Linked DNA regions of Coturnix japonica. Each later gene encodes a partner of the first gene's protein in a complex. Links are inferred from orthologs where the notes say so. Each region holds a gene or a part of one and is shown on either strand. Other genes may lie near its edges. The genes, in order: KATNB1 and KATNA1.

What was found.
Region 2: the proteins of KATNB1 (region 1) and KATNA1 are in contact, whole or in part, in a crystal structure (PDB 5OW5), measured with the Mus musculus proteins. The link is inferred for Coturnix japonica from reciprocal best matches to the Homo sapiens genes KATNB1 and KATNA1. Residues at the interface, in NP_083081.2 of Mus musculus: Leu485, Val486, Asp487, Glu488, Ala490, Met491, Gln493, Ile494, Arg495, Gly497, His498, Met501, Phe502, Val504, Leu505, Thr506, Arg508, His509, Leu512, Asp513, Val515, Arg516, Trp519, Thr521, Asp542, Leu543, Ile546, Gln549, Lys550, Leu553; in NP_035965.2 of Mus musculus: Leu5, Gln6, Ile8, Val9, Val12, Arg16, Ala19, Leu20, Leu21, Gly22, Tyr24, Tyr31, Tyr41, Leu50, Lys53, Trp54, Gln56, Val57, Glu60, Ile61, Val63, Glu64, Gln67, Val68, Asp70, Ile71, Thr74, Leu75, Ser77, Phe78.

What each region holds. Positions count from the first base shown.
Region 1 is NC_029526.1:1,954,125-1,958,574, forward strand, and holds the start of KATNB1 (katanin p80 WD40 repeat-containing subunit B1), read left to right. Parts: upstream 1-1,429; 5' UTR 1,430-1,667; coding exon 1,668-1,707; intron 1,708-2,857; exon of another isoform or gene 2,858-3,671; coding exon 3,672-3,802; exon of another isoform or gene 3,803-3,827; intron 3,828-4,450. Other genes in the region: DRC7 (dynein regulatory complex subunit 7), read left to right, coding at 344-483, 635-725.
Region 2 is NC_029518.1:43,364,914-43,369,452, reverse strand, and holds the start of KATNA1 (katanin p60 ATPase-containing subunit A1), read left to right. Parts: upstream 1-1,575; 5' UTR 1,576-1,662; intron 1,663-1,666; exon of another isoform or gene 1,667-1,737; intron 1,738-1,812; 5' UTR 1,813-2,121; intron 2,122-3,885; 5' UTR 3,886-4,051; intron 4,052-4,539. UniProt on the Homo sapiens protein: Catalytic subunit of a complex which severs microtubules in an ATP-dependent manner. Microtubule severing may promote rapid reorganization of cellular microtubule arrays and the release of microtubules from the centrosome following nucleation.

The DNA.
Region 1 (4,450 bases):
CCTAGACACAGCTGTGTCATTTTGTCATGAACATGTGAGATCAAAGAATGGAATAGCTCCAGGGTCAAATTTAGTCCTTGTTTCAAGCAGAACTGATTTGGTTCTCCAGTGTGTCTTAACTATAGTGAAGCAACGCATTCTGGTCTTGCAGCCTCTCACTGGTCCACGTGTTTAGATTCCCTTGTTTTCATCTTACCTCGGACTCACTACCTTATGAAAATAAAGCAGCTCTTATTTGTGGTTTCCTCTATCTTGGCTCCCTGAACTCCAAGTTGCACTTCTGCCTATCTGTGCTCCTCACTCTCCTTTTGATTACCCTGACTTCTTGCCACTCTCTCAACAGGAGGTAGAAGAGCTGCAGAAGAAGAACCAGCAGTTTCAAGAAAAGCGGAATCAGCTCAGTGAGGAGGAGGAGGCTGAATTCCTTGCTGGTTACTCTGAAACCATGTTTCGTATCCACATTCTAGCACTAAGACTCGACAGGTACTGGGAATGATGACTTGAAAAGCACCCAGGGGAACAGGGAGGTGTACCAGTCAGCATTCCTATCACTGAGCAATGCAGCTGTTCTGTAAACCATTCTACTCCACGTCCTGCTGCAGCTTTCCTCTGATCATTCCCCTTCTTGTTGTAGGGAAAAGCAGACAGCACCACAGCGGTACCTGGCTCTTGAGGAGAAACTGCGCAATGACCCTCGCATTGCAGAGCACCTCGGTCACCCCTGATCGCTTCTTTATTCCTTCAGATCAGACACTGGAAATTGGTGCTGAAGCCTTTTAAAAGCAGCCTTAAAAATGGAGAAGAGGTTTTCCTACTTGCCTGCAAGAAATCTTGCATTCTCATTAGGTTCTGCTATAAGTCTTTGTGCATCTATCTCTAGGATTTTAATGAACTTGTACCATCTACTGTCTTAAACAATCCACTTTCTTGGCTAATAATCATCCCCTGATACTAAAACACAGAAGCCAGTGTTGCACTGTTCCCATTGCAGAAAGCCACCAAGCAGAAGCAGCTCATAATGCTCAATCCAAACATCACAGGTCACTCAATGGACCATGTTACCCTTGCACAGGGTGGCAGCATTCAGGTGCTGATGGCAGGATGCTGCCTCCCTTTGTGTGCAGCGTCTGACACCACAGCGACTCCCTCGATGGAGCTGCGGGCTGTGGGGCCGCTCCCCCGGGCCTGACCTGAGCGCCGCCATGACACCCCCCCTCAGCACCCACAGACATGAAGCAACCTAGCTCCGCGCCTCCTTATTGGCTAGGCTGGAAAGGCTTTTCCAAGAAGCCGCGCTGCGAATGGTCAGCCGCTCTGTAGTTTGCATGGCAACCTCCCATCCCTCGTCTCCCATTGGTCGAGCGCCTGACAGAACCCTGGCTTTGCGGGACAGGCGGGAGGAGCAAGGGCGGCTCTGATTGGTGGAAGCCGGGCGCGGGCGTGGCGCGACCCAGGTTGGCGCTTGGGGGCCGGTTGCCAGGGCCCGGTTGCCAGGCGAGTCGTGCCGGGTGGAGGCGGCCCAGGCCTAACCCACCGGAGCGCACTGGGGCCCGCAGGCCGCACCGCGGGGATCGGCGGCGGAGAGGGGCCCGGAGCGGCCGTGCTGAGACAGAGAAGGGGTCGAGCCCCGAGACAGGCCCAGGCGTGGAGCCTGGAGGCGGCGGGACATGGCAGCGGCCGTCGTCACCAAGACGGCCTGGAAGCTGCGTGAGTGGCGGCGGGGGGCGGGGGGAGCCGGGCCCGGTTGGAGGCTGGGGTGGGAGGTGGCACCGGAGTGAGCCGCTCATCCACTGAGCGGGGGCAGAACAGCAGATTGCTGTGCAGAAATCGCAGGGATGGGAACCTCCAGCAGCAGATCAACCTTCTGTACCTCAGCCATGAGTTGGTGGTGCCCTCCCTCAGCGTGTTCTGAAGTGTTTATGGTGCTCGTGGGGGCTCAGTGCCATTGTGGATGAGGAGAGAGCCCACAGCCCGGCCCTATAGACAGGGGCTGGTTCCTCAGCAGTGACACTTAAACATCGCTGTATTACAAAGAATGAAGCCAGGAGGAGGAAAAGCACAAGGTGTTGGTACATTCCTATTGGTACCAGCAGTGCTCAGCATCTGTACTTTCCTCTTTTACAAGCGAGTTGGTCTCTCAGTACTAATTGTGCTGCTTGTTGCCTTTGGTTCTTTGCACATATACATCCTTTAGTGTTTTCTTAAGGAGGATTGGGGTTTCAACACAGAGCACACATACTTTCAGCTTGGCTCATCTCATTTACAGCCCCATTTACCTGTGTAATTTCAAAGGTGTTCCTCCAGCTGAAGTGAAAGTTGCACAGTTTTGCTTTCAGAAAAACACTCGGAGCCTGAGATCAAAGCAGATTTAATTACTGCTGCAGCTGTCTGATGGCCCTTTGGGTTAGTGGTGTGCTTTACACAGTCACATCGCCCTTCCCACCAGAGCAACTCCAAGGAGAGCTGAGTTGATTACTGCATGGCCCTTTTACAACAAACCTCATAGAATCACAAGGTTGGAAAGGACCTACAAGATCACCATTGCTACCACAAGGCACTAAGCCATCCCTCACAGCTCCTCATCCAGATGCTTCTTGAACACTGCCAGGGATGGAGACTCCACCACCTCCCTGGGCAGCCATTCCAGTGCCTGACCACGCTCTGAGAGAAAAAGTTCCTTCTTATGTCTAATCTAAACCTCATCTGGTACAACTTGTGGCCATTTCCTCGGGTCCTGTTTGTTGTCTTGGTGAAGAGGCCAAACCCCTCCTCATCACAACCTCCATTCAGGAAGTTGTAAAGTGCAGTGAGGTCTCCCCTGAGCCTCCTGTTTTATACCTATTAGGCCTGCAAATGCATTAAACTCTCAAAGCAGAGAGCAGTCAAGGGAAGAAATTGATAAATACATCTGCCAAAAGCTCCTGCCAAAATTTTGGGTGGATTTTAAAATCCATTATAAAAATTGATGTCTGTGCAAAAGGGCTTCTTTGGCTTATCTTTTGCCACACGCTTGTATTGTAAGGCTTTCTTTCCTAGAACTCTAGTGTTTCTATCAGCCCTTCAGTTCTTAACAATCTTTCCATATCAGCCACGTTTGCTTCTTTGTGCCCCTTTAAATGCCCATCCTTTATCACAGTGGCAAGCTGAATTGCTGAATTTCACTTTAGCACAGCCTATGCCAAAGCACAGCTCCACTTCTCCCTCTGATGAGTCTGGCTTTTTGCTCTGTCAGGTAACAAACTGAACTGAGTCCCTCTGGGGTTGGACACAGCTCTCCTAGTTAGAGGCCTTTTCTAGGAGTCTGTGACTGCTGCTTATCATTGCAGCTTCTGAAGCAGCTCTGCTGACTGAGACCCACCTCAGTGCAGAAGGAAAAGCGGCCTCTGTGAGCAGGTTGCTGCAGTCTTTAAAAGCTACTGCACTGCTGCTGGGGAGAGAAGATGCTTTTAGGAAGCCTGGCCAGCAAACATCTTAAGTACAGCAGACAGAGCCCAGGAGGACTGTTTGAAGCCAGATAATACTGTGACTTCTTATCTGAGTTGCATGCTGCTGCCACTTTTCCAGTGGAAACCAGAAAGGCTTTCTGGAGCAAGAATTGTTTTAATCTCTTTGGGAGGAATGGGGTGGAAAGTCCTTAATGCAGACCATCCTGACTGCTTCATTTTCTGCAGAAGAGATCGTGGCTCACAGCAGCAACGTGTCCTCGTTAGTCCTGGGGAAGAGCTCGGGCCGGCTGCTGGCAACTGGAGGAGATGACTGTCGGGTCAACGTGTGGTCAGTTAACAAGCCCAACTGCGTCATGGTGAGAGCAGGCCAGCTTCAACTTCCTGGGGAGGAGAGCGTTAATTCTGAGACAGGGAGGGTGGGGAACGAGGGAGGAGATTGCTGGGTTGTAGCCTGTGGGACTTGTGAATAGAGTTTATCAATGCAAAGCCAGATGGCCAGATGCTGGCAAAAGATTGGGACAGAATTTGGTGAGGCTGCTGCTCCAAGGAGGACCAGAGATGGCTCTCTGCTCCAACAGAACTAGTATTTTCTCAGATAATGAATATGGAGCCTTCTGTTACTGTGCTGCAGGCAATTATAGCTTTGTATGAGGTCAGCTTGTCTTGTAGTGTGAGCTACAGGGGCCGAATTTGCATCTTGGAGTTTGTCCTCCTTGCAGGAAACATCCCAGGCAGGATGCATTTCCACTGTCCCACAGACACTCATTGTCAGCACAAAGTTTTGAATACTGACTTGACCGTAGGCTGGAAAAGAATAATCCTGGGCACAGCACATTAGGAAGAGTAGGGTTACCACTAGAGCACATTTAACAGCTGTCTGTACTGTATCACTTTTCCTTCAAGAGGGTGTTATAGAAAAGTATCTAGAGCAAGTGTCTTGTTTAATTAACAAAATAACACTGCATTATGGAAGGATTTCTCTAGGCAGAGTGAACCTCATGTGA
Region 2 (4,539 bases), on another chromosome or scaffold:
CTGGCTACTCATCATGGGGATTGGTTTATACTGGCAGTAGAGAAACCAGCAGCTGTGGAATTATGCAGTGAGTTTTAGTTCAGATTACTTTTCTCTCTGTAAAGCATGAAAATAAATTTCTCATGTGTATCCTTGTATACATATAAATTGTATTTATAAGATATTCTATAATCATATACTGTATTGTAAATACTATTTGATATTCAGTGGCATTCTATCCTAGGGCAGGCCCTCTTGCTGTATCTTTTCTATCCTCAGTTTGTAATAGACTCTATAGAATATATGGCTAGGACACCACTGAGGCTGACTTGCCTTCTGCTGTTGCAAAGCTCTAAGCTGTGAGTGGGAATGATTTAGTTTCATTTAATATTGTTTAGCTGATAGGCGGTGCAGTGGGTGGGTTCTTAGAAGTTGCTGCTGTCACTGAAGATACAGTTAGGCATTGGTTTCAGATGTCTTTGGCATTTCAGATCAGACCTTTTAATGTTTGCTTTAGTTCAGCCAAAGCAAAAAGATGTTAAATTGGGTCAATGTGATAGTCAAACATTTGAATGCCTTAAGATGCTCTTGATAAAGGCACTATTCAAGTTTACTGATTTATATATATCTATATAGGCACATATATAGATATATTGTGTGTATATGTGTATATAAATAATGTCTTTTTTTGTATTATAAACATTCTTCTGATTGTCACAGTTCCTTTGGATCTTCAATTAAATACATAGACCACTGCACAATTCTGCTCAAGCATATTATTTATTATATGAGTGAACCTTGCTAGCCCCAGTCTGGGCGCTGTGAGCAGGGGGTTGTATTGACACAACACTACGCTTCATGTAAAGTTACAGCAGAACAGGAGACTTCTAGAACGTGTGGGCAGTATAACTGTCAGCTTGTAGTAATCAATTACACTCATTCAGAGTTTAGAAACTGGTTCTGTTCTCAGAAGCAGTTACTGTAGCGTGACACCTTCTGGGGTAGTGAAAAGTACAAGAATACAGTCACTGAAGACCAGCTTTCCGTTTTGGTTAATCAGATGAAATGTACACAGCAGTCATCCAAATGCAGTTGTTTGTTTTGTTGCTTTCTTTCCATTTTCTCTCCCCAGAATCCCCCCCTACTACAACAGATTTACTGATGAATAAAAGAAGTGTTTGTAACCTGTTCACAAAAGCATCCAATTTGCTGTTCAAGAGCTGAATTCGCTGGTGCTTTCCCTGCATTCTGCTGCCACTTCCATCATGATCATTAAAACGTTATTTATTATGCATAGATATTCCTACTCTGAAGTGATGCACCCTACTTCAGCTTTTATGTTTTGTTCCTTTCACGTTTAAGACAATCTGAAGAGCTGTAGGCAGTCACAATGCAATTAATAGGTATGCTCTGTGCTCACATAAACAGTCCGTTTATAAATCAGCACAATCAAGTAAGAAATAGGGACTGAAACTGAAATAAACAGCTCATGGGGGGGCAGCTGTGTCCCAGGTTGAACGCGGTGTGTGTGGGATGGACGCTGCAATCCTCTCAGCCGCGGTCCCCAACGGCCGGCGCGAGTTCCCCAACGGCCGCGGCGGGGCGGCGCCATGTCAGAGCTCGCGCACTCAGCCCCGCCGCTCTCGCGCTGTTCAACTGAGGTAGCGCGGAGTCTTTTAGCCCGTAAGCATTGGTGGTTCAGTGGTAGAATTCTCGCCTGCCACGCGGGAGGCCCGGGTTCGATTCCCGGCCAATGCAAATAAGCTTTTTAAAGTTATCTATACTTTAAATTCCTTTTTTTTTTTTTTTTTTTTTTTTTTTCCCCTTTTAAAGCACCGCAATCTCCTCTCAGCCAGCAGTAACTCTGAAACAGCGATGTTCATCGGGTGCCAACGCGATACCGATGAGTAGCACCGCCTGGAAGTGACGCAGCGGATTTGCCTTCAAACCGGCGGCGGCGGCAGGAGGCGGGCGGAGCTGGGCGGGGTTACCGAGCCGGAGGAGAGAAGGAAGGCGAAGGGACGAGGGAGCTGCTGCCGGGCTGTGGGCCGTGCGGGTGAGACCCGCGGCGTTCACTCCAACGTGGAGCGTCCCCGTCCTCGTCCTCCGCTGGCGGCCGTCGCGCGGGGCCGCCTTCCCGAGGTGAGGGCTGCCCGGCACCTGCCGCCGCGTGGCCGGGGCTGCGCGTAGGGCCGGAGGGTCGGGCCGGGGCTTCGGCTGTGCCCTCCGGCCTAAGGACCGGCGGAGAACGCGGTCGTTGTTGTCGCGACGTCTACGAGCACCCCGAAGTGCTCCCCGCTCCCCCTCGCTGCCGTGCCTTGGGCGGCCGAGGGACGCTGCGTGTCCCGCGGGGCTCCTGGCCGGGGCTGCCTGAGGAGCTGGATTTGGCTTTGTGCTCACTTCTCCCCACCTCCTGCCTTTTATTTATTTCTTTATTTATTTTGGAATGTATTTTAGATTTCCATGTTGCCTTTTCCTTTCAGCTGAGAAGTTTCCTTCTTGCTGAGAAGTTCGTTGTCGTGGTTCTGGTTGTCTCGGAGTGCTGGTCTCGTGAAACGGGAGCAAGTATCGTGGTTGTTTCAGAGTCTTATGAAAAGCTCAGTATTGAAAACACAGCGTTGTCCCTGTACGCGAGGAGGTTTTGCCTCTGTGGAGTGTGCAGTGTTTCAGCCGGCTGTCTCTCACTACTGTTAAACGCAGTGTTTGAGGAGCAGTCAGTGTGGGTAAACCCAGCGAGAGTCGTGTTTCTCAAGCAATCAGCAGGAGCACTTGTTGATAGCAGAAGCTGCTCACAGTGTGCGTTGTGGAGTGGGGTAGTAGATCTGGAAGGGATCTCAGAGGTATGTGGGCCCACCTATGGGACAGTGTATGAGGAACATAAATTGGCTCCCGAGAGCTCTTACTGCTGGTTTCCCCTTTCTGCGTTTATGGAGGGAACTTTGTGAGTCTCACATGGCTGCTGTGGTGTCAGAGCCTGCCTAACAGGAGTGTGAGCTCTGCCACAACCCTGCTGCTGGTGTAGGCCAGATGCATAAGTCTGACCAGAGGGTTCTGCAGGAATACAGTCCTTGTGTGGCTTGTGCTGTTCTGTATCGACAGAGGGTTGGGAGACCCACAGCAGCTGACAGCCTTTGGCTTTGTGCTTCCTTCCTGGCTGCTCCGGATCTTTTTTTTCCTCTTTGTGCGTGTACGGTGGGATTTCTTTGTGAAACATTGTTGAAATCATGTTGGACTCCCTAAATCCTTGTGTACCAGTGTGAAGAACTTTGTGTACTTCTTGATAATTTCATAAAGTTATTGCTGGAAATGATTCCTCCCACACCGCTCTTGACAGTTTCAGACCTTAGGAACATTTCAGGTGCTTAGAGCAGATGATAAAACGTATGGATGTGTTTTGTTACTGGAGGTGGGTTAAGGCGTGACGAGTTTCATTTGTATCAGTCTATGGGAACTGAGAATGTTTACAGCCAGTTCAGAGAGGGCGAGTGGTGTGTGTACATGCGTGGAATTAAGCTACAAGTCCGAGTTCTTAGGCTGGTTGTGTGGTGAGCTTTACAAGCCCATTGCTCCTCCAGTGGCTGTTGGAACGTAGATAATTTTGCAGGGGGTGATTCACGGGAAGGTTGTAGCTGATAAGTGTGTTCCTGCTGCTCTGACATCCGGCTACGTGACAGCACCAGGTATTTGTAAACACTCTGCAAATTAAGTGGTTACAAATTAGATTATTTTTCTCAAATTGTTTCCTGAATTTCTTCAGGTCTGGCTTAGCTCTGGGTCTGTGTGTGCTCACACCTCTCTCACATGAATCTTCTATGGTACTGTGAGCTGCCACAGCCTGCTTCATGCTGCGAACCTTAATCAGCTTTCAGATTAGTGCTCTAACTCCGTCTCCTGCCTGTCTTGAAGCCGCTTCAGCATCTGCAGTTGCAGCAAGCTGTGAGCTTGCATTAGTGGACCCACTCTGGTGCTGCTGTCTGCAAGCCACAACAGCGTGTCCAGACATGGGCTGAGCCAGCAGCTGTCCTGCACGGGAGGCACGTGTCTGGGAGCTGCTCCAACCTCTGCTCTTCTTGTGAGTCAACATGAACCAACGCATGCACTGTTTTATTACGCTCTGTGTCCCATCTCTGATATTCAAGCAGAATTGCTGTTCTGCTCTGATCGCTCTGCAGTATTCTGTTTGTGTACTGCTTCTCACTGTGTTTGAAAGGCTGTTTTGGCTCTGGTAACTTGCTGTTACTTGATTTTTAGAATGTTTATTAGTATCTTGCTCAACTTGTGATTTCAGAGGTGTTAGTCATGGGTTTGAATTCTCAGGACAGGCAAACAGGTGTATCTGGTAGGATGAGCACGGGTGGAAAAGCTTGCTCCTAAATATAGTAGTACAACTTTGGTAACATCTGTGTGATGATCCAGGCAGGTGTTGACAAATATCTTCAGGCTCTTTCTCCTGAGGTTAAAAAACGCAACAATACTCCCAAGTCAAGTTGTGTCTCCAGAGCCTAATCACACAGGGACATGGCAGGCTTTGTAGTTGCTGGTCACGGGAACCATCCCAGT